Arabidopsis thaliana: one gene and its partners. The protein of the gene in region 4 interacts with the protein of the main gene of each other region in a pairwise test. Each region holds a gene or a part of one and is shown on either strand. Other genes may lie near its edges. The genes, in order: HAE, AT3G56370, CRK37 and AT5G47530.

Region 1 (8,336 bases), on a different chromosome or scaffold from region 4:
GGAATGCCACTCCAGAAAGATCAGACAAAGAAAGGGAACTTAAGGATCAAGTTCAATATCAAGTTTCCAGCGAGATTAACTGCGGAACAGAAAGCTGGGTTTAAGAAGCTTATTGGGTGATGATTAAAGCATCTCTGTCTTGTGATGTGTGGAGATTGGGATAAATTTGGTAATATACAATTTATAGGGAATTATCTCCCTCTTCATTAAATTTCGTGTTGTTAAACAAGTCTTCTTTTTAAAGAATAGTTTTTTCAAGATTTGGTACATGTCCTCCATAAACAAAAATTGAAGATCACAAATCTTTTTGTTATACAAAAGTTTTTCAGTTCTTGTCTAGAGTATGAAATTATTCTTTGGTAAGGGGAGATCCGATGCCATGACGGCGTGTAGGGAACGCTAGGAAGAAGGCACCACAAATGACGCCGATGACAAAAGGTAAACTGGTAAGAATCTCCTTGGTTTCCTCGGAAGGAACGGGGAATAAACAACGGGTTACGTTCTGATCAAACATGGAGACTGCGAAGAAGACGAGCATTGACATGATTGCGTGAATAAAATCAAGAATCTTGAGCTTATACTTTTCCTTCTCCTCCTCCGTTAAAGTAATCGATCCATCCATCACTAATAGCCCACTCCACGTTGCCAACCCGTACCTAACCTGCAACATTAAGTTTGGTGCTTATGTCAACAAGTTGTTATGAATGGTACAAAACAGCGGAAAATGTGACAGAGATATGTATATATACCTTGCCGTTTGGGTCTCTAATGGAGTCGGTAAAGGAGAAGAGGAAGCAGGAGATGGCGCATAAGGAGACGAGGAAGCAGGTGAGCCAGCGACTGGTGATGGTGGGACACTGACCTTGATGGGTTAGGACCGGACACATTATTTGAAAACTCATTACAGAACCGGTTGGGAGCAGATTTGATAGATGAGCTGTTCCTTTGAATGTTTTCCTCACAACTCTCTCTACTTTCGACTTTGGTTTTCTTGGTGCCGACGGCAACGATGCTATCAATGACTGCTTCGTCTCCTCCATCTTCAATTGTTTTTTCGTTAATCACTCTGCAAATTCGAATGATTATATATGTTTCTTTTTTTTGTCTCTATGGTTAATTCTGATTTGAAAGAATTGCACAAGATTTTATGGGTTTCGATTTCTTTCTTTTTTGGTGTTTGCTTCCGTTGAGTTGTTTGTTCAGGTTTCAAGGTTGATATTCTGTTCTTCCATTTTTATGTTTCTGTTGCATGTCAGGATTAGCAATAAAAAACGTAAAAACCAAATAACATTTGAGTAACGAAACAAGAAATAGGAGTTTTGTAACAGAAAGGATTAAACTAAAACTCTGTCACCGTTTCCTAAGAAGATATATCATTATCAAAGTTACTTTTATTATATTGATATAGTAAAACTTTGCTAAACTAGTAAAAACTAGTTTTTCGAAAATAATCTAGATTAGAATTCTCCAAAGACGTGGCTTAATTCTAATCTGTCTAACGTATGGACCATAAAGAATTGTATTAAATTGGTCTTTGAACGAATTTATTCTTCGGCTAAAAGAGGTTATCGGTTGTGAAGTGGACCTGCAATTTCATTTGTTTGTTCATAAGAATATATGAACGAGAACTTAGGTGACCTCTATTTCATATAACTTTTACATACTGCATACTGGTAAATCATATGAAATATGGACTTTTAAAACGAAACAAAAATCACGTATAACCCTATTAGTGTATATAGAGTCTCTGTTGTGTTGAGACTCTGTTGTGTTGAGACTCTATATACACTAATAAACCCTTTTTACTTCTTTGTTCCATACGAATTAAGCTTCAGAATAACAGAATTTAAGAGAATATCGTTATTAACAGCAAAAGTCCAAAACAATTAAAAGGCAGAGTGCTTGTGGAGACGTAAAGGGAATGCAAACTAAGAAGAAGAAAAGTCATTATCGTTAGAGGACCAAAGACTTAAACATTATTGGATTAAGGTGACATCATAGTGCATAGTGCGTTGTACCATCGCGCAAACTCGTGATATTCGATCACGGATTAAAGCCATGATCTATCATTTTCTCTTCTTTCCCCCCTTAAATCTCGTTGTTTTTTCAAATCATAGTGACTGTTGCTTTTCCCATCGAAATGAAAGTAATCTAACAAAATCTACTGTTAGATCATGTTTCTCCGACCAACCAAATTTGACCTTGTCTACATATACACGTGGCTTCACAAATGCGCATCAAGCAATTGGAACTTGGAAGCATCACTATAGTTCTAAACTTCCAATTAAAAGATTGTTAGTCAATCTAGGGTTGGGATCATAGGTGGCTAAGTTTTCGGTTTAACAAATTTTCGAGATCATCGATATAAAATCATAGGATATGTCCTCATCACAATACAGTATACACACACACATAAGTGATTAAGTTATGCATTCATAACATTAATCCAGAAGCTTTATATGCAGACTCGAAAAGTCAACATAAATCCAGCATTACATGGCCCATTTGTCTCCATCATTTTGACCATCATAGCATTTCAGTTGACTTGGAGAGTGACCATTGGTCCATTCTGTTTCTTTTCAAATGAACAATTAAATGTTTGTTCATTTATCAAAAAAATATTTTTTATAAAATTACCTTATGTAATTATTCATAATCCGATTTTTTTTTAATATCACTTTACAAATTTGTTTATGATTTATATGTACAGTAGTACTTTGCTCCGTAATCGATTTCACATGGATGTATACTATTGCCTCCTAATTCTTCCAATATCGGAAAACATGTCTCACCCATGTCTTGTCACAGTGCTCGTTTCCCTTTTTGCTTCTACAATTCCTTATAATTACCAATCCATAATTTCGTTTTATTCACAAATCCAAAGCATGAAAAAAGAAGAATAACGATTCCTTTTCCAAAAAAATGCTTTATTGTCTTATTCTCCTCCTATGTCTCTCTTCTACGTATCTACCAAGTCTATCTCTAAACCAAGATGCCACCATTCTCCGGCAAGCCAAACTGGGCTTATCCGACCCGGCCCAGTCCCTATCTTCATGGTCCGACAACAACGACGTCACCCCATGCAAGTGGCTAGGCGTGAGCTGCGACGCCACGTCAAACGTTGTCTCCGTCGATCTCTCAAGCTTCATGCTCGTCGGACCTTTCCCCTCCATCCTCTGCCACCTTCCTTCTCTCCATTCCCTCTCTCTATATAATAACTCCATCAATGGCTCTCTCTCCGCCGACGACTTCGATACGTGTCACAATCTCATCAGTCTTGATTTATCGGAGAATCTATTGGTTGGATCCATCCCAAAGTCACTTCCTTTCAATCTCCCAAACCTCAAGTTCCTTGAAATCTCCGGAAACAACTTATCAGACACGATCCCGTCGAGCTTCGGAGAGTTTCGAAAGCTTGAGTCTTTAAACCTCGCCGGTAACTTCCTCTCCGGTACAATTCCCGCCTCTCTCGGTAACGTCACGACTCTTAAAGAACTCAAACTCGCTTACAATTTGTTTTCTCCGAGTCAAATCCCGAGTCAACTCGGAAACCTCACGGAGCTCCAAGTTCTCTGGCTCGCCGGCTGCAACCTCGTCGGTCCGATACCTCCGTCTCTGTCCCGGTTAACTAGTTTGGTTAACTTGGATTTGACATTTAACCAACTCACAGGATCTATCCCAAGTTGGATCACGCAGCTAAAAACCGTCGAGCAAATCGAACTATTCAACAACTCGTTCTCAGGCGAGTTACCAGAATCCATGGGTAACATGACGACGCTAAAAAGATTCGACGCGTCGATGAATAAGCTGACAGGAAAAATACCCGACAACTTGAATCTGTTAAACCTCGAGTCACTCAATCTCTTCGAGAACATGCTCGAAGGTCCTTTACCGGAGAGCATAACTCGCTCCAAAACCTTGTCAGAACTCAAGCTTTTCAACAACAGACTCACCGGAGTATTACCGAGTCAACTCGGCGCTAACTCACCGTTACAGTACGTGGACTTATCGTATAACCGATTTTCCGGCGAAATACCGGCGAATGTCTGCGGTGAAGGGAAGCTAGAGTATCTAATTCTTATAGACAATTCGTTTTCAGGAGAAATCTCTAATAATCTCGGAAAGTGTAAGAGCTTGACCCGGGTCCGATTGAGTAACAACAAGCTTTCGGGTCAAATCCCACATGGATTCTGGGGATTGCCTCGCTTGTCACTTCTCGAACTCTCTGACAATTCGTTCACCGGAAGTATTCCTAAGACGATCATCGGCGCGAAGAATCTATCGAACCTACGAATCTCAAAGAATCGATTTTCAGGTTCAATCCCCAACGAAATCGGATCGCTTAACGGAATAATCGAGATTTCCGGAGCGGAGAATGATTTCTCCGGTGAGATTCCTGAAAGCTTGGTGAAATTGAAGCAATTGAGCAGGCTTGATCTCAGTAAGAATCAACTCTCCGGTGAGATTCCTAGAGAACTTCGTGGTTGGAAGAATCTAAACGAGCTTAATTTGGCTAATAATCATCTCTCCGGTGAAATCCCTAAAGAAGTCGGAATCTTACCTGTTCTCAATTACCTTGACCTTTCAAGCAATCAATTCTCCGGTGAGATTCCGTTGGAGTTACAGAATCTGAAGCTAAACGTTTTAAACCTTTCGTATAATCACCTCTCCGGTAAAATCCCTCCTCTCTACGCTAATAAAATCTACGCACATGACTTCATCGGAAATCCCGGTTTATGTGTTGATCTCGACGGCCTTTGTCGGAAGATCACACGGTCTAAAAACATCGGCTATGTATGGATTCTTTTAACGATTTTCTTACTCGCCGGTTTGGTTTTCGTTGTCGGGATCGTTATGTTCATTGCCAAGTGTAGAAAACTCAGAGCTTTGAAGAGTTCTACTTTAGCAGCGTCGAAATGGAGATCATTCCACAAGCTTCATTTCAGTGAGCACGAGATAGCTGATTGTCTCGATGAAAAGAACGTAATCGGGTTTGGATCTTCTGGTAAAGTCTATAAAGTTGAGCTTAGAGGTGGAGAAGTTGTAGCTGTGAAGAAACTTAACAAAAGTGTTAAAGGAGGAGATGATGAATACAGTAGTGATTCGTTGAATAGAGATGTTTTTGCAGCGGAGGTTGAAACGTTGGGGACGATTAGGCACAAGAGTATTGTGCGTTTGTGGTGTTGTTGCAGCTCTGGTGATTGTAAGTTGTTGGTGTATGAGTACATGCCTAATGGGAGCTTAGCTGATGTGTTGCATGGTGACCGCAAAGGCGGTGTTGTGTTGGGTTGGCCAGAGCGGTTGAGGATTGCTTTGGACGCTGCCGAGGGTTTATCATACTTGCACCATGATTGTGTTCCTCCCATTGTGCACCGCGATGTGAAGTCGAGTAACATACTGCTAGATAGCGATTATGGGGCTAAAGTTGCTGACTTTGGGATCGCTAAAGTCGGTCAGATGAGTGGTTCCAAAACTCCAGAAGCTATGTCCGGGATCGCCGGTTCTTGTGGTTACATTGCACCAGGTATAAACCAAAACATATTTCAGCTGCATTTTGTAACTTTTGATCTTATATTAATAGTTTTCAATTTTGCAGAATACGTATACACACTTCGGGTGAATGAAAAGAGCGATATCTACAGCTTTGGTGTGGTGCTTTTGGAACTGGTTACAGGGAAGCAACCAACTGATTCAGAACTTGGAGATAAAGATATGGCAAAATGGGTGTGCACTGCACTTGACAAATGCGGTTTAGAACCCGTGATCGATCCCAAACTCGATCTCAAGTTCAAAGAAGAAATTAGTAAAGTCATTCACATTGGTCTACTCTGTACGAGTCCTCTCCCTCTAAACAGACCTTCCATGAGAAAAGTTGTGATCATGCTTCAAGAAGTCTCTGGTGCTGTTCCTTGTAGCAGTCCAAACACATCTAAACGATCTAAAACCGGTGGGAAACTCTCGCCTTACTACACGGAAGACTTGAACAGCGTTTGAACATTCCAATATGGGCTGAGAATCGGTTTGGGCCGGGGATAGCAATTTGATGTTATGATGCTAGGTGAACTGTAAGAAAGATATCAAAAACAGAAAAGTGGAGCTTTCTGATTAGGTAATTGCTCTTAAAGCTAATATAAAGTTATAATTTGGATATTAATTTTAATTTAACGCAATATTTGCAATATTTGGTGGTTGGTCCACCCAATAGCCAACCTTATTTAAACTCGAGCTCGTTACCAGTTCAATTTTGGAAAACGGATCGATTCTGACGAGTGATGATCAATATTTTTTTTTCTAATTTTTTTTTCATATTCTTATAAAGTAAAACTTAGTGTGGTAATACTAATGCCATTATAAAAAGTAAATTCTAAATAGCCAAGCATAGACAGCATATGTCAGTATAATGTGGTTAGATAGATTTCTTGAATGACACCTTGCCGCGGTTTCGATCCACCAATGAAAACAACAAGCTAACCACAAAATTTTCCAACAGACACAGAAGTGTAACATTTGTTCATAATTTTTTGTTTAGTTTGATAATAAATTAAGAATAGGTTGTATAACATGTGTTTAGAGTTAACAGGGGAGAGCAGAAACAAAAATCAGAAAACAAAGAGAAAAAATAAATAAAGGTTGAGGAGGTTCCTTGTTAATGTTATGCATGAGAAGTCTACGTGAAGAAATAGAATAATGACTAGCTTTTTAACTTTCCATTTTTTTTCTTTTTTTTTCTTTTTCTTTTTATCTATCTAAAAACCAATATTATAATGTTTTCTAACGTATATCACTAATATCAGTATGTGATTTCAGTAAAATTTATGTACATACAGTAATATACTGATGATGGAGATGTTAAATATGTGTAAATTATAAGTATAAGTTTATGTATAATATCTTTACATACACTCTAGGGTGACATTGGACCTTAACTTCTCTTTCTTATTTTTTGTTCTACCATATCACGTCTGAGCTCTCACAGACCAGCAACAACACCTTGCCCCAAACTTACTCCATCTCATATTCATTTTCAAATCCTATACATTTAATCAGCAAATTACCAAGATTAATTGATTAGTTATAGGTTTTATTATCTTTACTCAACATTCAACATTATACATTGGATATAGAGATCATCCCACACAAACTACGACAAGACAAGTTATTTTTGTTCCATGCATGTTATTGTCAAAAAAGGAAAGATTAGCTCACATATGTATTCCCTCATAAGATTTTGTCTTTCATGTTATTTTGTTTGATCAGTCTTTGTCCATCTCTCTCTCACACACCATACATACATGCCATGAGCCCAACCAAACTTAAAACCCAAGCAATCTTTTTTTTTCTTTCCTTCTTGGTTATTCATTTATTTATTCTTCAAAATATCACATATATGTATTTTTAAGAATAAACTAAAGTCTATTCAATTTATATGTTTTTTTCTTCAAAAAACTGTATATGTACATGCACACTTGTAAAAAAAGCGAAGAAAAATAGTTCCAATAATTTATCAAACTAGTACATGTTACAATGTAAAACTAATTAAGGTTTGAAAATTTCATAGTTCTTTAGACTTTACTTTCAAGTTGTAGGTGGGCATCTCCCTCTCGTTGTTACTTAACATGTATGTTTCTACATACTTGTTAAACAAACCTAAGTCTTTAAATAATTATTTCTCACTATACAGTATATAGAACATTTGTACACATTATAAAAATGAGGTTTAAATAATATTTCTTCTAGGATTATCTCATCTCTCTCTTTCATGGATAGTACAGAGTTAAAATCAAGTGCAAAAAGGGGCAATTATCTCAGCTTAAAAAAGTGATGAACAAGAATTTAATTCCTTCCTCTTTCTCAAGATAACCTCAAAGAGATCTTCTTATGAAACATATGCTTTAGCTATCTTTAACCCTTTTTCCCTTCTCTCTTTCTATTTCTCCCTCATACCTTTGTTTATTCTGATGAAGTTGTGAGCACTGAAAGAAAAGAAGAGAGGAGAAGAGAGATATGCACAAGAAGAATTAAACTTAGGGACACAAAACAACATGACTTGGTGCAATGACCGTAGCGATGTTCAGACCGTTGAAAGAATCATTCCCTCCCCGGGGGCGGCTGAGTCCCCCGTAGCCTCACTTCCGGTCTCTTGTCACAAAACTTGCCCTTCTTGTGGCCATAACTTCAAGTTTCACGAACAGGTTCTTGTTTCTCTTTCTACCTATATCAAGTTTAAACTTTAGATGATATTGGATATTTGAATATAATATATTAATATGTAATGTAGGCTGGGATCCATGACTTGCCGGGACTTCCTGCTGGAGTAAAATTTGATCCGACGGATC
Region 2 (8,458 bases), on a different chromosome or scaffold from region 4:
CAAAGTTGGTTGGTTATAGTGATTTGTTTAATCAAAGAACATTGTTAGTTTTGTTGCTATTGTAGTATAGAGGATTTGAATCAAGACAAGTAGACAACTTAATCCGTGTAAGATCTATATGCAATTATGCATTCATTAACACCACAATAAGCAAAAGTGTAGGTGGATTTAAAACTTCTGTTAGTGATCATAGTGCAAAGCCTATAGCTGATACTGCCAGAAGTTGCATTAGAGTTCATAACCTCCGTCGGAAAATTCCGGAGTCGATCTCCGGAGATGGAAAAGAGAGAAAATGAATAAAACATGGTCGTGATGGAAAATTATGGATTGTTTGATTGGATCATTTATATGGATTTGGATATTGGATTTAGATTTTAAGGCCCGTAAATATATGGAAGGTATAGGCCTTTGTTCCTATGGGCTATGAATGATCCAATGTTTATTTTCTTCTTTTTTATGAATTCTCTGAAAGAATCCAATAAATTGAAATGACATACAATAAGCTAATCTAAAGGGGCCAAGGAGTTTCATTGTTTATGACTTTGACAAGCGATACACATTTAGCAGCACAAGACATTTCACGATCGGACTTACGGAAGTGAATGATTACACTTAATCAACCACCTCTAAATTATTGGCATCACCATCTAAGACTCTTAAGTTATGGCTTAATTATGATCACCATTATATATATTTTTTTTTTAACATTTCACAATCTTATTTTTTTATTTTTTTGGTTTATACAAGGTTCCTTTTTGGGATTTTTTTGGAAATAATCCAATAAATGAAAATGACATATATACTGTATAAGCTAACCTAGAGGAATTAACTCATATATTAATAAGCTGTATATATTAATGACATGAAAAAATGTGTATAGAAAGATGAATTATTTTTTTCTCCAACCTAGTTATAAACCGAAGAATTGATCGGTAATATAATAATAAGCTGTATATGGAAAAAGAAAAAAATTATAAATGGAAAATGTCCCTTAAGTAACTTATTTTTTCAGGTTCCATTTCAAATGGAAAAAAAAAGTGTTAGCATATTTGGCTTAGAAAGTCAAAACGTTAGATGCCATCTCACTTTAATGCTATCATGTACAATATTGAAATGGATTTTTAACTTATGAGTTAAAATGTCAAAATGTTGCAAATTACCGAGGCTAGACAACGTAGATTGTAGTACTAATTTCGTCTTTCCCAACTCCAAGAGAGAAAAACGTGGTCTGTTTCAGACAAGGCATGCTCCATTCCTCTTTTATCGGCCATTGAAACTAGGGTTCTTCTGTTAAAAATGTACTTATATTATCCCTCAAAAAGATACTAATGAATAATGTATTTTAATTACAGATTCTTGAGACGTTTCTTCGATTCCCATAATCCAATAAAAGATCAGACCCATTAAATTGTTGAGTTTTCACAGAGTCCCATGCACATGGTTACAACAAATGAAGCTTCTTAAGTTATTTTATACTCTCTTTGTTCAGAGAGCATCATCACACGAAGTCACTAAGTTTTATCTTGATTCTTGTTTTTCTCAACCCTAAGTTTTTATTTGTCTCACAAGAAAGCTCTTATCTTCTACGACTGCTAAAAGATGGTTCAGAACCTGAAATGAAGACTACAGGCTTTCTTTCATAATAATACTTAAGATTTCATCGAAAGAGTCCCATATTATGGAACCCGGTGAAGACAAATCCGATACAGCCCTAAAAATGTTACAAGAACAATAAATAGAAGAAGCTACAAACATTGAAATTGAAACTAACAGACACAAAAGATAACACATAAGAGATTATCAAAAAACAAACACAAACAAGGATTTCTCTTAAAACCCCCAAATGAACAAACCGGATTCCTCTTCGCCGGAACTTGGTGAAAAAACATGTTAGTCTTTAACCTTCTTTTCAACTTGAACCCAACTCATCTGAGCTCCCTGAAGGGCATCTGATCATCCTCAATATGTTAACAGCTTCTCCCATATGTGGTCTACTTGATGGAACCTGAGAAGTGCAAATAAGCCCTAGCTTTATCACTGCAACCGCTTCTTCTACCGGAAACTTCCCTTGCAGCCTTGGGTCAATACATTCATCTGCTCTTCCATCTTCAAGAGCTTCTCTCACCATATCACACAAAACCACAACATCATCTTCCATATACTCCACAGGCTTTTTACCTGTAACCACTTCAAGGACCAAGACTCCAAATCCATAAACATCACATTTCTCTGTTATTTTCACCGTTCTACAAGCAAACTCTGGAGCCATGTATCCCAACGCACTCTGTATCTTGCTACTCAGCACGTACCTATCTAGCATAGGTAACAGCCTCGCTAATCCGTAGTCTCCTACTTTAGGCTCACCAGAGCTGTCTAGCAACACGTTGCTCGATTTGATGTTGTAGTGGATGATGTTTGATTGGTGCAAGTAAGCTAAGCATTTCGCTGTACCAAGGATAATGTTGAACCGATCATTCCAAGAAAGCGAACTATTACCTCCTGGTGCTTCGTGCAACTGTTTGTATAAACTCCCACCAGAGAGAAACTCATAGATCAGAAGCTGGAGAGAAGTTGTCCAGTAATATCCTTCGAGTTTAACCAGATTCGAATGCCTGAGTTTTCCAAGTTTCTTCACCTCTCTTTCGAATTCGTCCTGAGACTTGACAAGACTCGAGACAGTGAGCTTCTTGATAGCTACAGGATACCCATCTCTGATAACTGTTCTGTACACCGCTCCAAATCCACCTCGACCAAGCTCACAGTCTTTGTTAAGCAGAGCATGTGTTCCAGTGCTGAAATCAGGTTCACCAGAGAACATCACCAGCTTCCCTGAGTTGCTATCAGTAGTGGGAGATCGACTGAAGTCATCTCCGCCTGAGAACGTGAGCGGTACTGCTGATCTTGAAACCGTTGATGCGCGCACTCTCAGATTAAGTACCGTGATGGCTATTACACCAACCACAATGGCTGCAGCAGCACTAATGGCTATCAAAGAAGATATACTAAGCAGTATCCTTTTGTGACCAGCACCTGGAGGCACTATTTCACCATTGTAAGGATCGAAAGTTGCATTAGGATTCAACACAATCGGTTTAGGGGAGATGGCAGGACAAGACTTATTGACAACAGCACCGCAAATTCCCGGGTTTCCTGATACTGAACTTGGGGATAAACCGTTGAAGATTCCACCTGCAGGTAGTTCCCCAAAGAGATGGTTATGAGATATGTTGAATGTGTGAAGATAGCCGAGATTAGCCAACTGTTTAGGAAGTGTTCCGGCCAGTTCATTAAATGATAAGTCGACTTCTTCGAGTCTTGTAAGTTTAGCGAGCTCTGGTGGAATTGAGCCTAGCAGCTTGTTATGTGACAGGATCCTGTAGAAAGAAGCATGAAACAGAACACAGTTAAGACATAATCTTCAATGGGAAAATCTTAACAGAATGCAACCTAAAGCAAAAGAGACTTACAAAGACCGAAGGGAACTGCAATTCTTGATGGAAGATGGAATATTTCCCTCCAACAAGTTATTTTCAAGTCTCAACTCCTCCAAAGAAACAGCTCCACCTGTTTCTCGAGGAATCATTCCATTGAGCTGATTGTGACTCACATCAAGGACGCTCAAGTGCTTTAGTTCCCCAATGGTACTGGGGATGGGGCCGGTAAGAGAGTTTCTGGACAGATGCAATCCCTCCAGGTCTCTAAGATCTCCTAGACCAGCTCCAATCTCGCCAGAGAATGCATTGTGGGAGAGATCCAAAACCTGGATCTTCTTGATACCTCCAGTAGAGTTATCATTCTTTAATGCAGACACATCACGAGAACCATCTTGAAATAGCCACATGGGAAGCTTTCCAGTTAGTGAATTCCCACTTAAATCTAAGGCCAAGAGGTTGATACAGTTGGCTGTTGAGACCGGCAAGCTACCAATAAGCCCATTCCCAGAAAAGTTGAGAACTTTCAGTGCTAGAAGGTTGCCTATGGAGTCTGGAACCTGCCCTGAAAACTTATTCATGGAAAGATCCAAAGTCTCAAGACTCCTCATTTCTCCTATCCACTTTGGAACTTCACCTTCTAACGCATTCTTTCCCAAGTTCAGAGAATAACACAAACTGAGCTGCTGAAATGTATTTGGTAAGCTTCCTGATAGAGAGTTTTCACTAAGATCAATAGTCTTCAGCAGCATACAGCTCCCAATTTCGCTAGGAATAGGACCAGATAACCGGTTTCTACTCAAATCAAGCGCACGCAAGTTGTTCAATCTATCTATCTTCTCTGGAAACTCTCCCTCTAACTCATTCCTCGACAAATCAAGTGATCTTAGAGTGTTCAAAGACCAAATCCCCAAAGGCATAGAACCAGAAAAACCATTGGAAGACAAGTTTAAAGCAGCAAGAGACGAGCACGAGCTTATACTAACCGGAATCTTCCCCGTTAGTTTGTTCTTCGCCAGAGATAAAACTCTTAATGACCCACATTGCCTGAAAAACTCATCAGGAAGCGAACCAGACAAGCCATTGCTACTCAAGTCAACAACCTTAAGGTTAACAAGGCTCAGCAGCATATTAGGGTTAATGATTCCCGTGAGATTGTTGTTGGACAGAGAGAGCTTATGAAGAAACTGAAGCTGAAGTAGGCCACGACCAATTCGACCAGACAGAGAGAAGCCATCTAGATTTAACTCAGTGACTCGATTCGTCCTCGGATGGCATTTGACTCCGTTCCAACTACAAGGAGTGTAGTCATCTTCGTTCCAAGAAGCTAGCTTTTGCTCTGGATCTCGTAAATCGGCTTTGAAGACAATGAGCCCTAAAACGTCGTCGTTTAAAGGCGGGTCTAGAGATCTCACCGGAGCTACTGCCGACACCAACAAGACTGTAAAAATCAGTGCTTTGTACATCTTTCCACAACCCTCTTCTCCGTTGAACAGATTTTAGTTGCGGAAGACCTCCATTTTCAGTTATGTAGAGCTGAAATTAGAAAGAAGAAAATTGGTGAACACAAGAGAAAAAAAAAAACAGTACATCTCAAAACAAAAACTTTGTTTGTTCGTATTCTTAGGCGTTAGATTTAGTAGAAGAAAAGAACAAAAATCTATCTCAACGGCTACATTTCGGCCAACGGAGGAAGCAAAACAAAGCAAAAAACAATGAAGAAAAATCCGGTAAAACAAAGGCTAGTTATATGAATAGAAGTAGCTACAGTTTACTTGAAATTCATAGAAATTGAAGAAATATTCAACCTTCAAGTGAATGGCTGAAGTAAATGTTGAGCAAAATAACTTGAGTTTTTTTAAGTAAAGGAGTCATTGGACAGTTACGATCTGGAAATGAGGAATTCTCACCTAGTAAGAATTTTCTCCGGGAAGATTTCCGACGAAGAATGTTGCAGCTCAGGGGGAAAAAAAACACCGTAGGAAAAGAAAGTGAGAGAGCACGAGCTTCTTCTTCTTCTTCAACTTTGTTAGGTTTTGTAGCTTTAAAAGAAGAGTGAATTTGGGAAGAAGAGAAAAAAGCCAATAAAGAAAAAAAAAGAGAGCAGAGAGAGTAATTAAAAGCTGCCTTTATCAACGGGCTGGAAAGAAGAGAGTGTGGGGCCCGAGGAAGGTGGGTGGACTCATTAAAACTCTTTAATTGACACGTGTATTTATTTTGTTGGGTTTGACGAATCCGACTTGGCTGACACGTGGCTTTTATTTTTATTTTGTGTTGGTATAGTAAGTGGGAAAATGAATAAATGATTGGCCAACTCATAAAGAAAGAAACTATAAATTTGAATATGACTAAATTATCCTTCCCAAATAATAGAAACTTTCTTTAATGGGTTTACATGCTGCTCTGTGGCCTCTTGGTATGATTCAACTAATTAGAAAATAATCTTTCACATAAAATGGAAATAATGTGGAATGTGGTTGGTTCTGTTATTCTCATGCAGAGAATTGGTATTTTGGGTAAAAAATTATGCAGAAAGAGACAGTGGTTAAAGTGGTCACCATAGTTTTGGTTTTTCATTTTTTTATTTTGATTCTCTATTTTGTTTTTTGAAGTAAGAACATTAAAGTAAGTTGGTGAGGAATGATGATGGTGTCCTGGAAAAAATATTTTGTGGTGCTTAGAGATCATTAATAATTGCAACCATAATGTTATTGTTCATTTATGTACAATGTCCTGGTCAGTAGTCAATGCATCAAACTTATTAATTATGGGTTTACAAATTTTCTTGAAAAATTATGGGGTTTTGAAATTGGATCACAAACCTAAGGATTTTGGTTGACTTGGAGGAGCTACAGATGTAAATTTTGGATCTTCTGTTTGTGCAAGGAATCATACATTATGTAAACTTTTCCTACAGATTGAAATGCGGTTGAATAACTAAGTGTCAAACACTTATTGCCATAAAATAAAACATTAAAAAAAACAGATAATAGAACAAATGATGTTGAAAAAAATATTATAATCCGTTAAGCATGCTCTTGGAATTTTTTTAATTGTTGTCTTTCTCGTTTGAGATTTGGTCCGAGTCAAGACATTTTATCAGACTTCGGTCTCTCTCCCATACCTATGTTTTAAAATTTTATATTCCTTTTGACAGTAAAAGTTATTTATTATGAAATAAACAATGAAAAATAACTCTTTTCCCCATGGAAGGAAAACAACCCTTCATGGAAATTTTGGAATTTACTATTTGTTTCTATTTGCAATTTAACAAAGAGGCCTTTTTTACTTTTTAATGTATTCTAAAAATATAGGGTCAAATTTACTACTGTTTTTAAGAGCTTTCGAGGAATTTTTTGGGCAGTGTGAGCCGGACCGTAGCGAATTCACATTTACTGTTCTTCGCTTTCCATCTATATGAAGAATTTACCCTTTGTTTGTTTTCTACAGTTAGTATTTATTTCCACATTCAATTTTTACTCGAATCTTCCTCTGTCATATCAGGATTGGCATTTAGGACCAGCCATTAAAAGGTAAAATATTTACTTTCCGGTGATGTAAAATTCCAAATTTTCTTATATTTATTTAATTATTGATTACTTACAGTTTCATTTTTTATTCCATGGTAAATAACTACGGATAAGATGGGTCCAACTCTTCCATTAGAGGCCCATTAATGAGAAACGATAAATGGGCTCAGATAATAATAAGGCTTATCAAAGTTCTACAGTCCGAATTATATTTCAGGAAAGAAAACAAATTGAACTAAAGAAATGCGACTCGCAGCTACTTATAACGCGTTACAAGGCTGGCCCATGCAACTATGCAGCTATCATATCGGTCAAAGATTTCGTATTAAAATTTGAGGTTTTCACGATAATTAAAATTGACAAATAATAATATACACATCGAACAAGCCCATAGTTTAAAAATTCAAATACTAAAAATGATAATATATCTTAAATTTTAGAGAATCATGGGGACTTCGTAACTGAGATTCTGATACAGATTTGTGATCCATTTTGAAAATTAAATATGATTATAAATTTGCATCTTCATTATACGCACGATTAGAAAAGCCAAACAAATGGGAAATTAAAAATTAATATTTGGATTTTCGTTATCATCGTACAAGATCACAAAGCACTGTCACTGACATAAAACACCAAGTTTCTTACCAGTTTCCAGAGAATCAAATACCAAGAACAAAACCACAACTTGTTGTATCTTAAATTATAAGGAAGATAAAATCATATCAAATCATTTCTTGATATATTGTTATCCTATATATCCATATATAAATTAACAACATAATTATATATATATATATATATATATATACACATCCATTCTCAAATCTTTTTAATGTATCATTTCTCTGTTTTTCTCTCCTTCTTCTGTAAGTTTGTCTCTGTTTTCTTTAGGTTTGAGAATTAAAAGCAGTATAATGTATTAGTGTCTGACTCATTTATTCTCCTCCTTCTTGTGCAGATTTTTGTTCTTTGTTGCTTGACTCACAAGGAACAAAAACGATATCTCTCTGTAATCGTAGGAGATGAATAAGGGCTGTGGAAGTGGAAGTGATTCTTGTTTATCGTCAATGGAGGAGGAGCTTCATGTTTTAGCAGTAGATGATAATCTAATTGACCGTAAACTTGTTGAGAGAATCCTCAAGATCTCTTCTTGCAAAGGTAAACTATCATTCAAATTTTTTTCCTTCTAAATTTCAAGAACCAAGATTTCTTCTATATGGTAACATTGCCTCTGAAATGAAGAAATTGATTTTACTTTCTGTACAGTGACAACTGCAGAAAACGGGCTTAGAGCTTTAGAATATTTAGGCTTGGGAGATCCACAACAGACTGATTCATTGACTAATGTAAGCTCAATCTTCCCCATGAAACATTCTGATTGGTTTGGAGAGGAGACATTTGTATAACATCCAATATGACCTTTTGAGACTGTTTTTTCAGGTAATGAAGGTGAATCTCATCATCACTGATTATTGTATGCCAGGAATGACAGGT
Region 3 (7,325 bases), on a different chromosome or scaffold from region 4:
AGCTATTTTATTACATATTCTTATATCTCAATAATCTCCATACATACATAATAATTAAATAAAAATATATGGTGAAATAATATTTGTTCCTCATATTGAAAAATTATGTACGTATATGTGCAATAATGTACGTACATTTTTGTTGGTAAATTAATGTATGTACATGTGTAGTAATATACGTACATCTTTGTTTGTGAATTAAATTATTAAGAAAAATTTATTGATTCAATAATAAACCGATATTGACAATGACTGAGATATATTCTAAGACTTTCATACGATGTGATTTTGAAACATTCTGAATTCCTGACGACTTGAGCAGTCAAATGTCATGGACAGGTATCATCAACGCATACTATCTCCAATCTTGTAGGACATGACCTAGGTTGCTTATAGCAAAAACATTGTTTGATTGCGAGATAAGACATTGTTTGTTGTATGACTTTTCTGTTCTTAAAAATACTCCTCAATCTATAGTGTACGTACATTGGTACAAACCATGTTGACACGTACTTCTTGGAGTCACAGCTGGTGTACGGTCACCCGAGTGAGAAATGTTATCTTTGTTAGGTACACGCTGACTTGTGTACGTACACGCTGCCAACAGCCGACTGAATTCCCCTGGACGTTGAACAGTCAGTTGAGTGAAAATGAAGTCCTCCTCAACATTCCCTATTCCATATTCTTCTACAATTACATCGTTCCACTTGTTGTAATCATAATCTTCGCCACTACTTTCACTACCATCGATAGTAGGATCGAGGGTACTTCTCCCATAGATCCATAGTCACCCTGATAATCATCATACCCATCACCATTTTCGTTGTCCCCCTCCTATTCATCTTCATCTGTTTTACCGTCTTCAACGTCGTCTTGCTCATCTAGCGCCTCATTATTTTCATCAACATTTGAAACACTATCACACACATGGTCACTTTCAGCATCGTCACCATGAGTCCTAGAGACATTATTTCCGAGTGTCTTGACGGTTGTAATGAAAGAGACAAACAAGTTAAGAAAAAGATACCCACCACGAATCAAAAAGAACGTATCTAACCCCACTTGACTGTCAATGTAGACAGGAGGGCGTTTAGTATCTATCATCACTGACATCTCTCCCGGCATCCAGTAACTAATTATGGGATTGATCTCTGCGGACTTCAAACTGAAAGCCTCGCTTAGTGTACGTCATATTTTCCTTAACACGTACACATCGACCAAACATGTCTTCCTCTGGTTCAAATTTCCATTCTTCTTCTTTGCATCTCCACTCACCGACCATAGTAAATACGGGAATATCCATTACCCAACTGCATCATAAATTCAGGAGAAACCCATTAAATGCAACTGAAAACATGATTATATCTACAAAAACAAATAGAATTTCGATATACACACTTATAAACATAAATATCTACTCATTTAGCATTTTCAACCAACAAAATAGGAAATAAAAGATTTCTGGGTTTTTCTATAAAAAACAAAGTTGATTTCGAATACAATGAAGATCATAGTGTGTTATAACAAAAAACTTCTTAAAACCTTCATTAGTTACACGATAATGCTTGTCTTGGCTCCAAACTTCGTAAATAAACAAGATCAACCCTTCTTCAGCATCACATTCCTTCGTAAAATAAATTTTGTTTCTGGGTTCATCTTTAATTCAACAATTATTATCTCAAATATTAATCCAAAGTAATAATGATTTTGCATTAATTGTGACAAGAGTCACGTCTAAACTTTTTGGGCATTAAATATTGATGGCAAATTGTTTTTCAATGTTAGTAAGCCCCCCTTTTAACTGTACAACCGCACAAATCAATGTTTCTCCAAAATATCTTTAACCAAACCGGAATAGTGTACCTAACTAAATCGTCTAACTTAACCGTACATTCAAACAATATCTAGTTACGCTGGTAAGGGTAAAATGGTCAAATTTCAGCTGAAAAGATAAAACATGAAAACTACCTTTGACTTTGCCAATCTCTGAAAATAAAACATAGTCAAAGGGTGTGACCTGCAAATTACCTTACAAATTCTCCTTCTCCTTTTTTTTTTTTTAATATCTGAAAATTCAAGTCCAAAGACTCTATTTTTTCCCGAGGCGGGATCTACAGTAGGTTAAACTCATCTCTTTTAGATAAGAGATCTCTTTCAACATGCCTCGAACCCTACACCTCCACTTGAGAGATTTACCATTGGACTAACCGCACGTTAGAAAAAATTCAAATTCTCGTTTAACAATGCGTTGAAGACAAAAAGTCTATACGGGATAAAAAACTATTTAAAATGAAAAAATAAATCATTAAAAAAAAGGATATCTTAGATCAACATCACAATTTTTTTATTTAGATTTGATTATCAATTTTCTTTTTTAAAATCACCTCATCAGAATTTATCAAGAAACAATTTTAGCTAGGTCACCTCTAATAAGTGAAATCATTAAACAACGATATAAACAATTATGAAAGTGTTACTCCAAAATTTTATTGTAACAAGTACTAGCTATTACAATTAAATTTTAAGAATATGCTACCACACCTAGTCAAGTCAACTAGTACCCATTTCTCACGTCACATATTAACATGCAATGACGGGTTATAAATTAATCTATCCTATAATGAGAGGAAAAAAAAACCATTTTAACAACCTTATCAATTTGTGTAAATGGGAAAGAGTTGTGTTGTGACTAGTTCCTTCTCGCTTCTCCTTCTCTTCCTTCAAACCCTAAAATATGTTCATGCCGGTTTCATTTGCTACGGCGACTTTTTCAATGTTAACTACGGCGTCAGTCGAACGTATCTCTTCTCTTCTCTTCCTTCTAACGTCGTTTCTAACGGCGGTTTCTACAACGCATCGTTTGGCAGAGATTCCAAAAACAACAGAGTCCACGTTGTTGCCTTATGCAGACGAGGCTACGAGAAGCAAGCTTGTAAGACATGTCTCGAACATGTGATTGAAGACACAAAATCCAAGTGTCCTCGCCAAAAAGAGTCTTTCTCGTGGGTCACTGATGAATTCGACGACGTTTCTTGCTCTCTACGTTACACCAACCACTCAACTCTTGGCAAACTCGAGCTCTTACCAAATACTATTAACCCTAACCCTAACAGTATAGATTCCAAATTCAACAACATGGCCATGTTCAGCCAAGAATGGATTGCAATGGTTAACCGGACACTCGAGGCTGCTTCCACCGCTGAGAATTCCTCAGTCCTTAAGTACTACAGCGCAACAAGAACAGAGTTCACACAAATTTCAGATGTTTACGCGTTGATGCAGTGCGTGCCTGATCTATCGCCAGGCAACTGCAAGAGATGTCTTAGAGAGTGTGTGAATGACTTTCAGAAGCAGTTTTGGGGAAGACAAGGAGGTGGGGTTAGTCGGCCTAGCTGTTATTTCCGGTGGGATCTTTATCCGTACTACAGAGCTTTTGACAATGTTGTAAGAGTTCCTGCTCCTCCTCCTCAAGCTTCTTCTACTATTATCGATTACGGGAGAGACGAGAAAAGTTTTCAAGGAAGCAACATAGCAATTATTGTGGTCCCTTCAGTCATCAATCTCATCATATTTGTGGTTCTAATATTCTCTTGGAAGAGAAAGCAGTCACACACCATAATCAATGGTAAAGTCTTTTAAAATAAGCAACATATATATTCCTTATCTTACTAAGAGTTTGGTTTTAAACTTGACATGTTTTATTTGATGACGTGCAGATGTTTTTGATTCAAATAATGGTCAATCTATGTTACGTTTTGATCTTCGAATGATTGTAACTGCAACCAATAACTTCTCTCTTGAAAATAAGCTTGGCCAAGGTGGATTTGGATCTGTCTACAAGGTAAAGAAACTAGTAAGAAGAGTCCTAACAAAATCTTAAGATGGGTCAGTGATCTTTAATTATAGCATGAGAATTCGTTTTCAGGGAATATTACCAAGCGGGCAAGAGATAGCGGTAAAGAGATTAAGAAAAGGTTCAGGACAAGGAGGTATGGAGTTCAAGAACGAGGTCTTACTCTTGACAAGACTCCAACATAGGAATCTGGTTAAGCTTCTTGGGTTTTGTAATGAAAAAGATGAAGAGATTCTTGTCTACGAGTTTGTCCCCAATTCAAGCCTTGACCACTTCATATTCGGTGAGCCTTCGCGAGACGAGACTTTGCATCTTTGCATGTTACACTACTTTTAGAAAACAAGAAAAAAAAACTGTTTCTTTGAGATGTGCAGATGAAGAAAAACGCCGAGTTCTGACATGGGATGTGAGGTATACAATCATAGAAGGAGTTGCAAGAGGGCTTCTTTATCTCCATGAAGATTCTCAGTTGAGGATTATACACAGAGATTTGAAGGCAAGCAATATCCTTTTAGACGCGGAGATGAACCCTAAGGTTGCAGATTTTGGGATGGCAAGGCTGTTCGATATGGACGAGACTCGAGGACAGACAAGCAGAGTAGTTGGAACATAGTAAGTAAGCTCTGTTTTTATTTTTAAAGATTCTTTGATCAGCATCACTATTAATATGATTTGGTTAATGCAGTGGATATATGGCTCCAGAATACGCGACATACGGACAATTCTCGACAAAATCTGATGTTTATAGCTTTGGTGTCATGCTTCTAGAGATGATAAGTGGTAAAAGCAACAAAAAGTTGGAAAAAGAAGAAGAGGAAGAAGAAGAAGAGCTTCCAGCTTTTGTAAGCTTATCACTTATGTCGATCATCTTTACTCTTCTTCTTCATCTTCTTATCGAAATTTTAAAAATTATTTGCAGGTGTGGAAGAGGTGGATTGAAGGAAGATTTGCAGAGATCATTGATCCTTTGGCTGCTCCGAGTAACAATATCTCAATAAACGAAGTAATGAAGCTCATTCACATAGGTTTGTTGTGTGTTCAAGAGGATATTTCCAAAAGACCTAGCATTAATTCAATCCTCTTTTGGCTTGAGAGACACGCTACTATCACAATGCCTGTGCCCACGCCTGTTGCTTATCTTACGCGACCATCGTTATCACTTGGTCATTAATGAACCGTCAATCATGTATGTTTTATACCTATTTGTCTCTCTCTGTACAATGAATGACAAATGTTGAGAAAAGAGATGCCGTGTAATGTAAGCAAACTTATGTTTGATTTGTGCTAAACTTATTTATATTAAATGAATATTTGATATAGCCAGCGTTTTGGATAATGTTGGAAATTGGACTGAAACGGAGGAACGCATAGATGAAATTAAAGTCCAATTTCTATGAAAGTTCACACGAGCAGAAACAAAAACTTTGATCTAATGTAAGAGGAAATGCGTGCGGTAGGGGTTGCGTAGTCATAAAGAAAGGACATTGAACAAAGGCACATTTTTAAACTTATATGTAAGAGCATCATGGGCTCTTAACCATATTTAGAATTTAAATATTGCACAATCAAAATACCCCTCATGAGTTTTTATTTTTGACAACTCCAATGGTAGAAGTTCTAATGAGGCTCTTAAAATTTAAATTTTTGAAATTTATATGTGTTTGTGTAACACCCCGATTTCAGGAATATGGTGGTGCATACGGTGAAATTTAAAATAATTGATTTGACCATTTATATTACCAAAATGCATTTATCTTTTCGATCAAAGATGTTGAAAATGCTCAAGTAAATAACATTTGACATTATATTTTACTTTTTTCATGTTTACAATAAAGCTTCGTTTTGTATGATCTGAAATATAAAATTTTCTCTATATTTATAACCAATTTACTATAGACTAAATATTTTTAAATTACAAATACCGAATGACTAATCCATAAAACTGTGATGGACACCATATATAAAGCTATATTGGACGATTGTGGGTGTTGTTCATTAAATTGATGATTTCCACTATGTCAAACCTTTCCTCCAAATTTAAGAATGACAAACTATCCAAAATTATTTTCAAAGATTTTTGAAAGACTCACTACGAGTTTCTCAGAAATTAACAATTGTTACAATTTTCACTTCTTTTTTCTTCCTGAATTGTCACATTCTTTATACAGTATATGAGTATGACTCGTAGACCAAGCAAAGGAAGACTTTTTTGGTCATGCATGCGACCAAAAACAAGTACTTACATAACCATATTGAAAGGACAATATTTTCAATACTTCTAGAGAAGAAAAAAACCCTTAGTTCATACGAAGTGATTAAGAAATGTTTACCCTTTCTCTACGGCTATTTGAATTTGAATGGCCATCTTTGAAGTCAACCATTACTCAAATTTTTTCATGTGTACTCAACCAAAACCCATTCTCTCTCATGTCACCTAATTATACACATATATAAACATTTATTACCTCATTAACAAAAAAAAAAACAATGAACAAAACCCTAAACTCCATTGCTTAACAATGATAATGAAGAACTCTGCTGCGATCTTCCTTACTTCTTCCCTTATTCTTCTCCTTCAAACCCTCCACGGAGTTAAAGCCGGTTTCATCTGCGTCGGAAGCTCCTTCCCCACCAACAGTAGCTACCAAAAAAACCGTGACTCTCTCTTCTCTACTCTTTCTGATAAAGTCACCACAAACGGTGGATTCTACAATGCTTCACTCGATGGAGTTCACGTTGTTGGCCTCTGTAGAAGAGACTACGATCGGCAAGGTTGTATCAACTGCGTAGAAGAATCCATTCGACAGATTAAAACAAGTTGTTCTAATCGTGTTCAGTCGTTCCATTGCAATAGTGACGATAGAGAACGTGTTTCTTGTCTTGTACGTACCACGGATCAATCAACTTATCGGATACTCGAGCTTGGACCAGCTACGAATGACCCGAGTCCTGTTGCTATCGACACATTCGCAAAGAACATGACCCTTTTCCGCCAAGAATGGGAAGCAATGGTTGACCGGACGCTCGAGGCTGTAACCATTGACAATTCCACAACGGTTCTCAAGTATTACGGTGCTCTCAAATCAGAGTTCAGTGAGTTTCCAAATGTATATATGATGATGCAATGCACACCCGACATAAATTCAGGCGCGTGCAAGAGATGTTTGCAAGCGTCCGTTACATATTTTAGAGACCAGAATTGGGGCAGACAAGGAGGCGGGATTTGTCGACCGAGCTGTGTTTTCAGGTGGGAGTTTTATCCCTTTTACGGCGCTTTTGCTAATGTAACAAGAGTTCCAGCGCCTCCTCGAGCTTTGATTCCTCGAACAGAAGCAATCTCCATCACTCGCTTGAAAGGTGTGAAAACAAATGAGTTGTTTAACATTTTCACCTGTGAAATTATCTGAGATTCTCATACAAATATTAAAAAAGAGAAGCCATAATCTTGCAGGAGGAATTATCGCAATATTTG
Region 4 (6,545 bases):
TTACTTGTCTCCCTAAACTTAACTTGGAGGTAACATTTCTCCGTATAGGAAAGACATCATTTTTGAGATACATTGGATGATTGAATTGCGAAAAATCTGTCCTTTTTTTTTAATTAGACGAGGAAAGATGCTACACAAGTTGTTGCAAATCTACAGAGGCAACAGGTTAATTCACGGTTGATTGCTTCTGATTATTTAGAAGCCAACATTGATCTCATGGATGTTTTGATTGAAGGGTGAGTCTTGTGTGTTACTATCATTGAAGTTATTAGTTGGTAGTTTTTCCAAATTAAGAGATACCACATTTTATCATTTTTATAGCTTTCCATGTTTTGTGTCAGCTTCGAGAACACAGACATGGCTTTACACTATGGTGCTATGTTTAGGGAGTGTATCCGTCATCAGATTGTGGCTAAGTGAGCCAATCGTTTCATTTTCTTCATTTTACGACCTATGGAGTAATTATGGATTCAGAGAATAACGGAAAATGTGTTTACTAACTTAATTTCTTTGGATTCAGATATGTTTTGGAGTCTGACCATGTGAAGAAATTCTTTGATTACATACAGCTTCCAAATTTCGACATTGCTGCCGATGCTGCTGCTACTTTTAAGGTTCCAAAACAAAACTCGCATTTTTAGCTTGGATCTTTCCCTGTCTGGGACTAGTAAACATGCAATCATAACTCCAAACCTGTCATTTATTTTCACAGGAACTGCTGACAAGGCATAAGTCTACTGTTGCCGAGTTTCTCACCAAGAATGAAGACTGGGTAAGTTATGTAGCAACAATGCACTATGATATATGCTTGAAGACAGAACATTGTAATTTATCCTCTGCAGGTCCTGCGTTCAAGTCGTATAATAATCTCAAACTTTTTGGTTTGCAGTTTTTCGCAGACTACAACTCAAAGCTTCTTGAATCAAGTAATTATATAACCAGACGGCAAGCTATTAAGGTAGGCTAACTTATACAAGAATCTAAAACATTGAAATGATGGTACTGGCTGATCAATCTTATGTACTGTATGGTGTAAATGTTAAACAGTTGTTGGGTGATATATTATTGGATCGATCAAATTCAGCTGTGATGACGAAATATGTGAGCTCGAGGGATAACTTGAGGATTCTCATGAATCTTCTAAGAGTACGATGCTTTACTCTCCGTTTTTTTGTTCTTGATTATAATAGTTTGGGAAATAAACTCAATCGCTTGAATTACAGGAGTCAAGCAAGAGTATCCAAATAGAAGCATTCCATGTCTTTAAGGTACCTACATTAACGAGATGTAACATAATGATGATTGTCACTTGTCAGTCCAACGTGATTGTACTGAGATTATCGTCACTGTTGTGCAGCTGTTTGCAGCGAACCAAAACAAGCCTGCGGATATAGTCAACATTCTGGTGGCCAACAGAAGCAAGCTTCTGAGATTGTTGGCTGATTTGAAACCAGACAAAGGTATGAAACTAATCTTGTTAAGTGAAACGCTTGTATCCGATCCTTCTGCTCCTTAACCTTATTAAAGCATTGTTTGGTTCATTTGGTTGACAGAGGATGAGAGGTTTGAAGCAGACAAAAGTCAGGTTTTGAGAGAAATCGCAGCCCTTGAACCTCGAGATCTTGCTTGAACCAACTAATGCAATTCATCCTTCCTTCCCTTTTAAAACACTCGAAAAGACATTTTTGAAGCATCTTGTTGTTTTTTTACATTAGGTAACCAATCTTCCTCTCACTTTCTCACCACACACACACACACACACACACACACACACACACATACACATACGAGATATCTATTCGATATATGTATTCATATGTACACTACTTCACTGTCGATGAAATAAAATGGTTTGTCAAAAGCTCACATCATGAATGTTGTAAAAGAGCACAAGAGTCTTTCAACTTCAACAACTATTAAACATCAAATGTATTAACTTAATCTCGAAAACAAACAAAAATTAACAACCACAAGCCCATAATGACCAAATAAACCAGAACATTTTACTCTAATCTTTACAGAGTCTACACGTATAGAGACCGACCATCGTTGCCTACTCGTTGACTTGTTTTCGCAGATGCCTCTGCTTTCCCTCTCTTTATGACTACATACCAAGTAAACCCTTCGAGCACAACCGCGACTATACCTAGTACTACGATTATGGCGGTGTAAGCGTTTCTCCACTGCTTCTCAGGGCTCAGGATGTCTAGTCCTTTAAAAACGTTTACCACCGCAAGAATGATCACTGAATAGCCTACAGTGTGGTGATAAATGTTCCAGTAGACTCTGTACTTGTGCTCTGGTTTGGGTCTCAAAAACATTGCAAACACCTAACGTGTGAAACAAGCAACTTAGTAATTGCAACATATTCATGACAAGTGTAATACTCTCTGTACTGTTAACTAAAACCTACCTGAATTGTTGCGAGGCAGAAGAGAGCGATCCCAACAGCACGGTGAAAGGTAAACTGAATCCCGGCTGATTCGTTGCCCAGTTTGAGACCGGTCGCCCAACCGGCAACACCAATGATGTAAGCAGAAGACTGGCAGAAAACATGAAGGTAGAACCAAGCAGGATCTGCTGATTTTGAGACTTTCAAGTAGCGAGCAATGATTGCTCCTATTGGCATCATTATACCCCAGCTCACACCGTTCAATATTCCATGTATCTGCAATAATGATTAGGAGTGATAAGTTTCATAAAACCAACTAACAATGATGGGATTGATAAATCTCATTTCATATGTGAGATTCCTAAAAAACATGAAATGAAGAAATTGATAAAACCATGGACTCACGTTGCGTTTGCGTAGCTTGGAAGCTCCTCCTGCTCCGGTAGAGGTGGATCCAGATGCACCAGAGACAAGGTTAAGAGTAGAAACAGAACGAACATTGTTGCCAGAAGTTGGATGAGGCAGAGGATTGTTCCCTGACAGTGACCCATCTTGCCACACAGTGTTAATGATTCCACCATTCGCAAGTGGAAGATTCAGAATTGCGTAGATGACCATCTCGTTGTTTTGGTAAGTGGCAGACAACTGAGAGACGTTGAAACTCAGCTCAGCTTCTAGGAGACTCGTTTGGTAGCTACTGATGGGTGACGTATAAGCCCTAACGGTGCCGTCTGATTGTGGATAAGCCACAATGGCTTGAGCTCCGACCATGCCAGTAGATGTGGGATTCACGGCCCATGCCACCCATTTCCCGGGGGTGAGCTTTGTGTGGCGATACGCGATTTGGAGATTGCCTGAAGAAGAATCGTAAGTGTAGTGGAGGAAGGAATCAAGAACAGGTAGGTCGTTGCAAGACTCAAAGAGACGGTTGGTGGAGAATTTGTAGTTGGAACATTTCTGAGCCAAGGCGGATTTGGTGATGATGAAAATGAAAAGAGAGAGACAAAGGAGAAGATTTGAGGATATGGCCATGGAAACAGAATCTCGAGTAATGATTAAAAGATGGATGAATGATAAGATTTAAGTATGAAGGGGAAGAGAGGAGAATGAGATTAAGTATGAATAGAAAGTGGAACAAGTAGGGTTTGGTTTGTTAGTTAATCTGTCTTAATACAGAATCTCTAATTCTCTTCACACGTGTCCTTTTTTCATAGTTTAATCTTTCTTTTAATCCTCTGCTTTTGTTCTTGTTCATCTATCAATTGCAATGTTTTACCTAAGAGTAAAAAATAGAAACATTATAAATGAAGCGTTCATTGTTTTCCCAAAAAGGTTTGACGTGTAATGTATTTCTTCCTTAAGAGTCTTTAACCCTCTCAAGCAAAAACCAAGAAATAAAAATATGAAGGGGTCATCTTCACGTTCAAAAACCAGTTCACACCAACTTTATTACGAGAACTCATTTCTCGTGTTTATTTTTTCTTTGTTTGTCATGAAAAATCTTTTTCATTGTATATAGGTTTTGTCATGACATTGCGCGTTAAGTTAGATTATAATCTTGGTACGCTTGGGAATTGGGATGATGATAAATTATTGAGCACACTAAAATATTAGGTTTCATTGGGTTTAGTGGTTCAATTGACGAAAGTAGACTAGCGAAGGGAGTAGTGGTTTTCGCGTAATAAAGGGCAAACACGTCTATGCCTGCAACTACTAACGTTGTGCATGTATGATGTACCCTAAGTAAACATCTACCACCTTATGAGTATGGACTGGAGCGGACCAGACCAACAAACTGTTTATGAGAGATTCCAATCCAAGGGAAGTGGTTGGGTTTAGCTATTTTTAGAGTTATGTTCTTCTATATATAGGCCGCGACCAACATTTCAACGGTTAAGACCATGTACATGAGTGATATTTTTAGAATATCATCAGTGTAAAAATTATTTTTTTATTAACCAAACAATTAGAATGAGTTTGATTAGTATCATTCCAGTGATTTTCTTGATATCAGTATCATCTACGTGACATCTCCTGATTGGTAGCATTTATTAAAAGTAAGAAAAAAAATATTTATCTATTAAACAAACATTATAAATAATACTAAAATTTTTTTAATGATACTTTGAGAATATCACCTATAAGCATGCTCTAACCAGGTGGATGTATAATAATGTCCTTTCTTGGTCAACGCTCAAATTACTACCTGCCACATGTCCCCCACTAGATTCTTTGGTGTAGCTGGGCTCAGTTTGAACTAGACTCTTTTATATGGGCTTAAGTGTTAATTATCAAAAAACAACCCAAAATGAGATATTTAGATATAATATGTTTTTGATGGAAAAAAAGGAAAGATATAATATGTTTTTTTGATGAATGAAAAGTATTACAATTATTCAAAAAATCACTAGTTTCCTGAAAAACAATACAAATTGCATAGTTTCAGAAGGATAATCTGATTTGGGTAGAGTTTGTTGATGTTAGAAATATAAATATTTTCTTTTATAAATAAAATAGGATGGAAAATCCATCATATTTGAAAGTTTTGTTGTGTCTAATAAATAACAGTAGAGTGTACATAATCGGTAACTTTTTTTTCCTTAACTAAAATTTTAAGTGAAACTAAAACAAAGGTGGTAAAAAAAAGTAGAGCCTATGGTAAAATAGGGTAAGAGGGTCCATAAGGGCCCAAGATGTTTTATTTTTGCTGAGCCCATTATTACCAATCCGAACCGAAATGGAAAAACTCCGGTCTCTTTCTTTCTCTCTCTCTCTGCCAGAGTTACTGCGTGTCTTTGATTTCCCAGAAGAAGGCGTTGAATCCTTTCGTTTTCCGATTCCATTTTTGGGATCTCTTGTTTCGTTTTCTTCTCTTTGGATCCATTCCATTCCCATGTTCCCCAATTTCTTTAATCGGTGTTGCTTCCACAAGGTAATTTTGTTTTCCTCTGCACTTCCCGAGAATAAAGAGAAGGTTTTTCTCAATTTTCCCCTTATGATTATCCCTGTAAATGCGAGTTTTTTGTCCTGTTTTGTCTAATGGGTCTTCATAATTCGTGATCATCAACGTTTTCTCTGTCTTGTGTGTGTATGTATGTGTGTGATCTTACATCTGACGGGAATGTAATGTGATGATCTCTCATGTAAAATTCTGTTTTTACTTGGTTTGATTGTTTCTATTACAATGCTCTGTTTTTGCTTTAAAGAGTTCTTACAATATCTCCTCCTTCTCTTTTGCGAAAATGGGTTCTTACTTGGGTTTAGTTTCTTAGGTGAAGTTTCGATTATTTTTTTGAATTGGTGTTTTATAAGTTTTGATGTCTCATCATCTTTTTCAGAAAGAAATGTGTGGCCTACTTTCATTTTCTAATGCCGTATATGAAGATTTTCATATTCAGGCAGATATTATAAACCTGCAGCAATCATTAACTCGATTCATCTTTAATGTGAGCCCTAAGGACAAGACTGAGAATTTTCTATCAGTGTTTAAGATTGCACTTTGTGTGATCAAGTGAATGAGTATTGTTGGTTGAATTGGGCCCGCGCTTGTCTTTTCTGTCTCAATTCTGTTTCTCCTTATGATAGAGAGAATATTTCTCTGCTTTCCTATTGGTGGCTTTCATGATTTGTGAATAGTCAGTATCTACCGACTTTAACTTAGATTCTTAGGGTGAGATTATAACTAAAGTTAGCTTTACTTGTTGTATATAGGCTTCATGAGCTTGTATAACAAGTTTCTCTAGGAGGTGTTAAAGAGCCAGATCAAGCTTTCAGAAGAGGTAACTTGTATTGCTGTCTTACTTTGGATCCAGAATGCGTTTATGTGCTGAATACTTTGCTTGTGATAGATTTTCTTAGGGTGGTTGAGAGCTGAAAGTTTTGATATTTAGTCAACTTTGTTCCACTGAACCTTCTAGGAAGCTACCTCAAGTAGACAGGTGATCTTAAAGATTCTCTTGTTTCTCTTAGATCTCAATCTTTACTGTTTCTCAAGTTTCCTATGCCAACTCTACTTATTCTTGTCTTCCCTCTTCCTCACTTTGGCTCTTTGTTTTGTCCTTAGCTTTGTTGACGGGCTTCAAGCCAGTGGTAAAGATATGCTTCTGTAGAAGGGTTAATCTTGAGCATTAAAGGACATGGCTTTCTACTCTGA

Evidence for each region.
Region 1: the proteins of AT5G47530 (region 4) and HAE interact in a protein complementation assay, tested with the Arabidopsis thaliana proteins (one large-scale study listed by BioGRID).
Region 2: the proteins of AT5G47530 (region 4) and AT3G56370 interact in a protein complementation assay, tested with the Arabidopsis thaliana proteins (one large-scale study listed by BioGRID).
Region 3: the proteins of AT5G47530 (region 4) and CRK37 interact in a protein complementation assay, tested with the Arabidopsis thaliana proteins (one large-scale study listed by BioGRID).

Annotation. Positions count from the first base shown.
Region 1 is NC_003075.7:14,074,972-14,083,307, forward strand, and holds HAE (Leucine-rich receptor-like protein kinase family protein), read left to right. Parts: upstream 1-2,704; 5' UTR 2,705-2,922; coding exon 2,923-5,524; intron 5,525-5,596; coding exon 5,597-5,994; 3' UTR 5,995-6,486; downstream 6,487-8,336. Other genes in the region: AT4G28480 (DNAJ heat shock family protein), read left to right, coding at 1-120; DMP7 (transmembrane protein, putative (DUF679 domain membrane protein 7)), read right to left, coding at 350-661, 750-1,040; NAC073 (NAC domain containing protein 73), read left to right, coding at 8,043-8,192, 8,279-8,336. UniProt on the Arabidopsis thaliana protein: Receptor with a dual specificity kinase activity acting on both serine/threonine- and tyrosine-containing substrates that controls floral organ abscission. May interact with the 'INFLORESCENCE DEFICIENT IN ABSCISSION' (IDA) ligands family.
Region 2 is NC_003074.8:20,897,494-20,905,951, forward strand, and holds AT3G56370 (Leucine-rich repeat protein kinase family protein), read right to left. Parts: upstream 5,588-8,458; 5' UTR 5,342-5,587; intron 4,968-5,341; 5' UTR 4,898-4,967; coding exon 3,468-4,897; intron 3,375-3,467; coding exon 1,910-3,374; 3' UTR 1,606-1,909; downstream 1-1,605. Other genes in the region: RR17 (response regulator 17), read left to right, coding at 7,987-8,122, 8,231-8,310, 8,405-8,458.
Region 3 is NC_003075.7:2,235,744-2,243,068, forward strand, and holds CRK37 (cysteine-rich RLK (RECEPTOR-like protein kinase) 37), read left to right. Parts: upstream 1-2,629; 5' UTR 2,630-2,667; coding exon 2,668-3,625; intron 3,626-3,716; coding exon 3,717-3,841; intron 3,842-3,925; coding exon 3,926-4,136; intron 4,137-4,227; coding exon 4,228-4,465; coding exon of another isoform or gene 4,466-4,466; exon of another isoform or gene 4,467-4,538; coding exon 4,539-4,695; intron 4,696-4,772; coding exon 4,773-5,024; 3' UTR 5,025-5,178; downstream 5,179-7,325. Other genes in the region: CRK38 (cysteine-rich RLK (RECEPTOR-like protein kinase) 38), read left to right, coding at 6,373-7,210, 7,305-7,325.
Region 4 is NC_003076.8:19,278,350-19,284,894, reverse strand, and holds AT5G47530 (Auxin-responsive family protein), read right to left. Parts: upstream 3,522-6,545; 5' UTR 3,425-3,521; coding exon 2,798-3,424; intron 2,669-2,797; coding exon 2,414-2,668; intron 2,331-2,413; coding exon 2,025-2,330; 3' UTR 1,834-2,024; downstream 1-1,833. Other genes in the region: AT5G47540 (Mo25 family protein), read left to right, coding at 1-29, 118-236, 342-416, 521-614, 713-772, 890-958, 1,048-1,146, 1,224-1,268 and 2 more; RABA5a (RAB GTPase homolog A5A), read left to right, coding at 6,529-6,545. UniProt on the Arabidopsis thaliana protein: May act as a catecholamine-responsive trans-membrane electron transporter.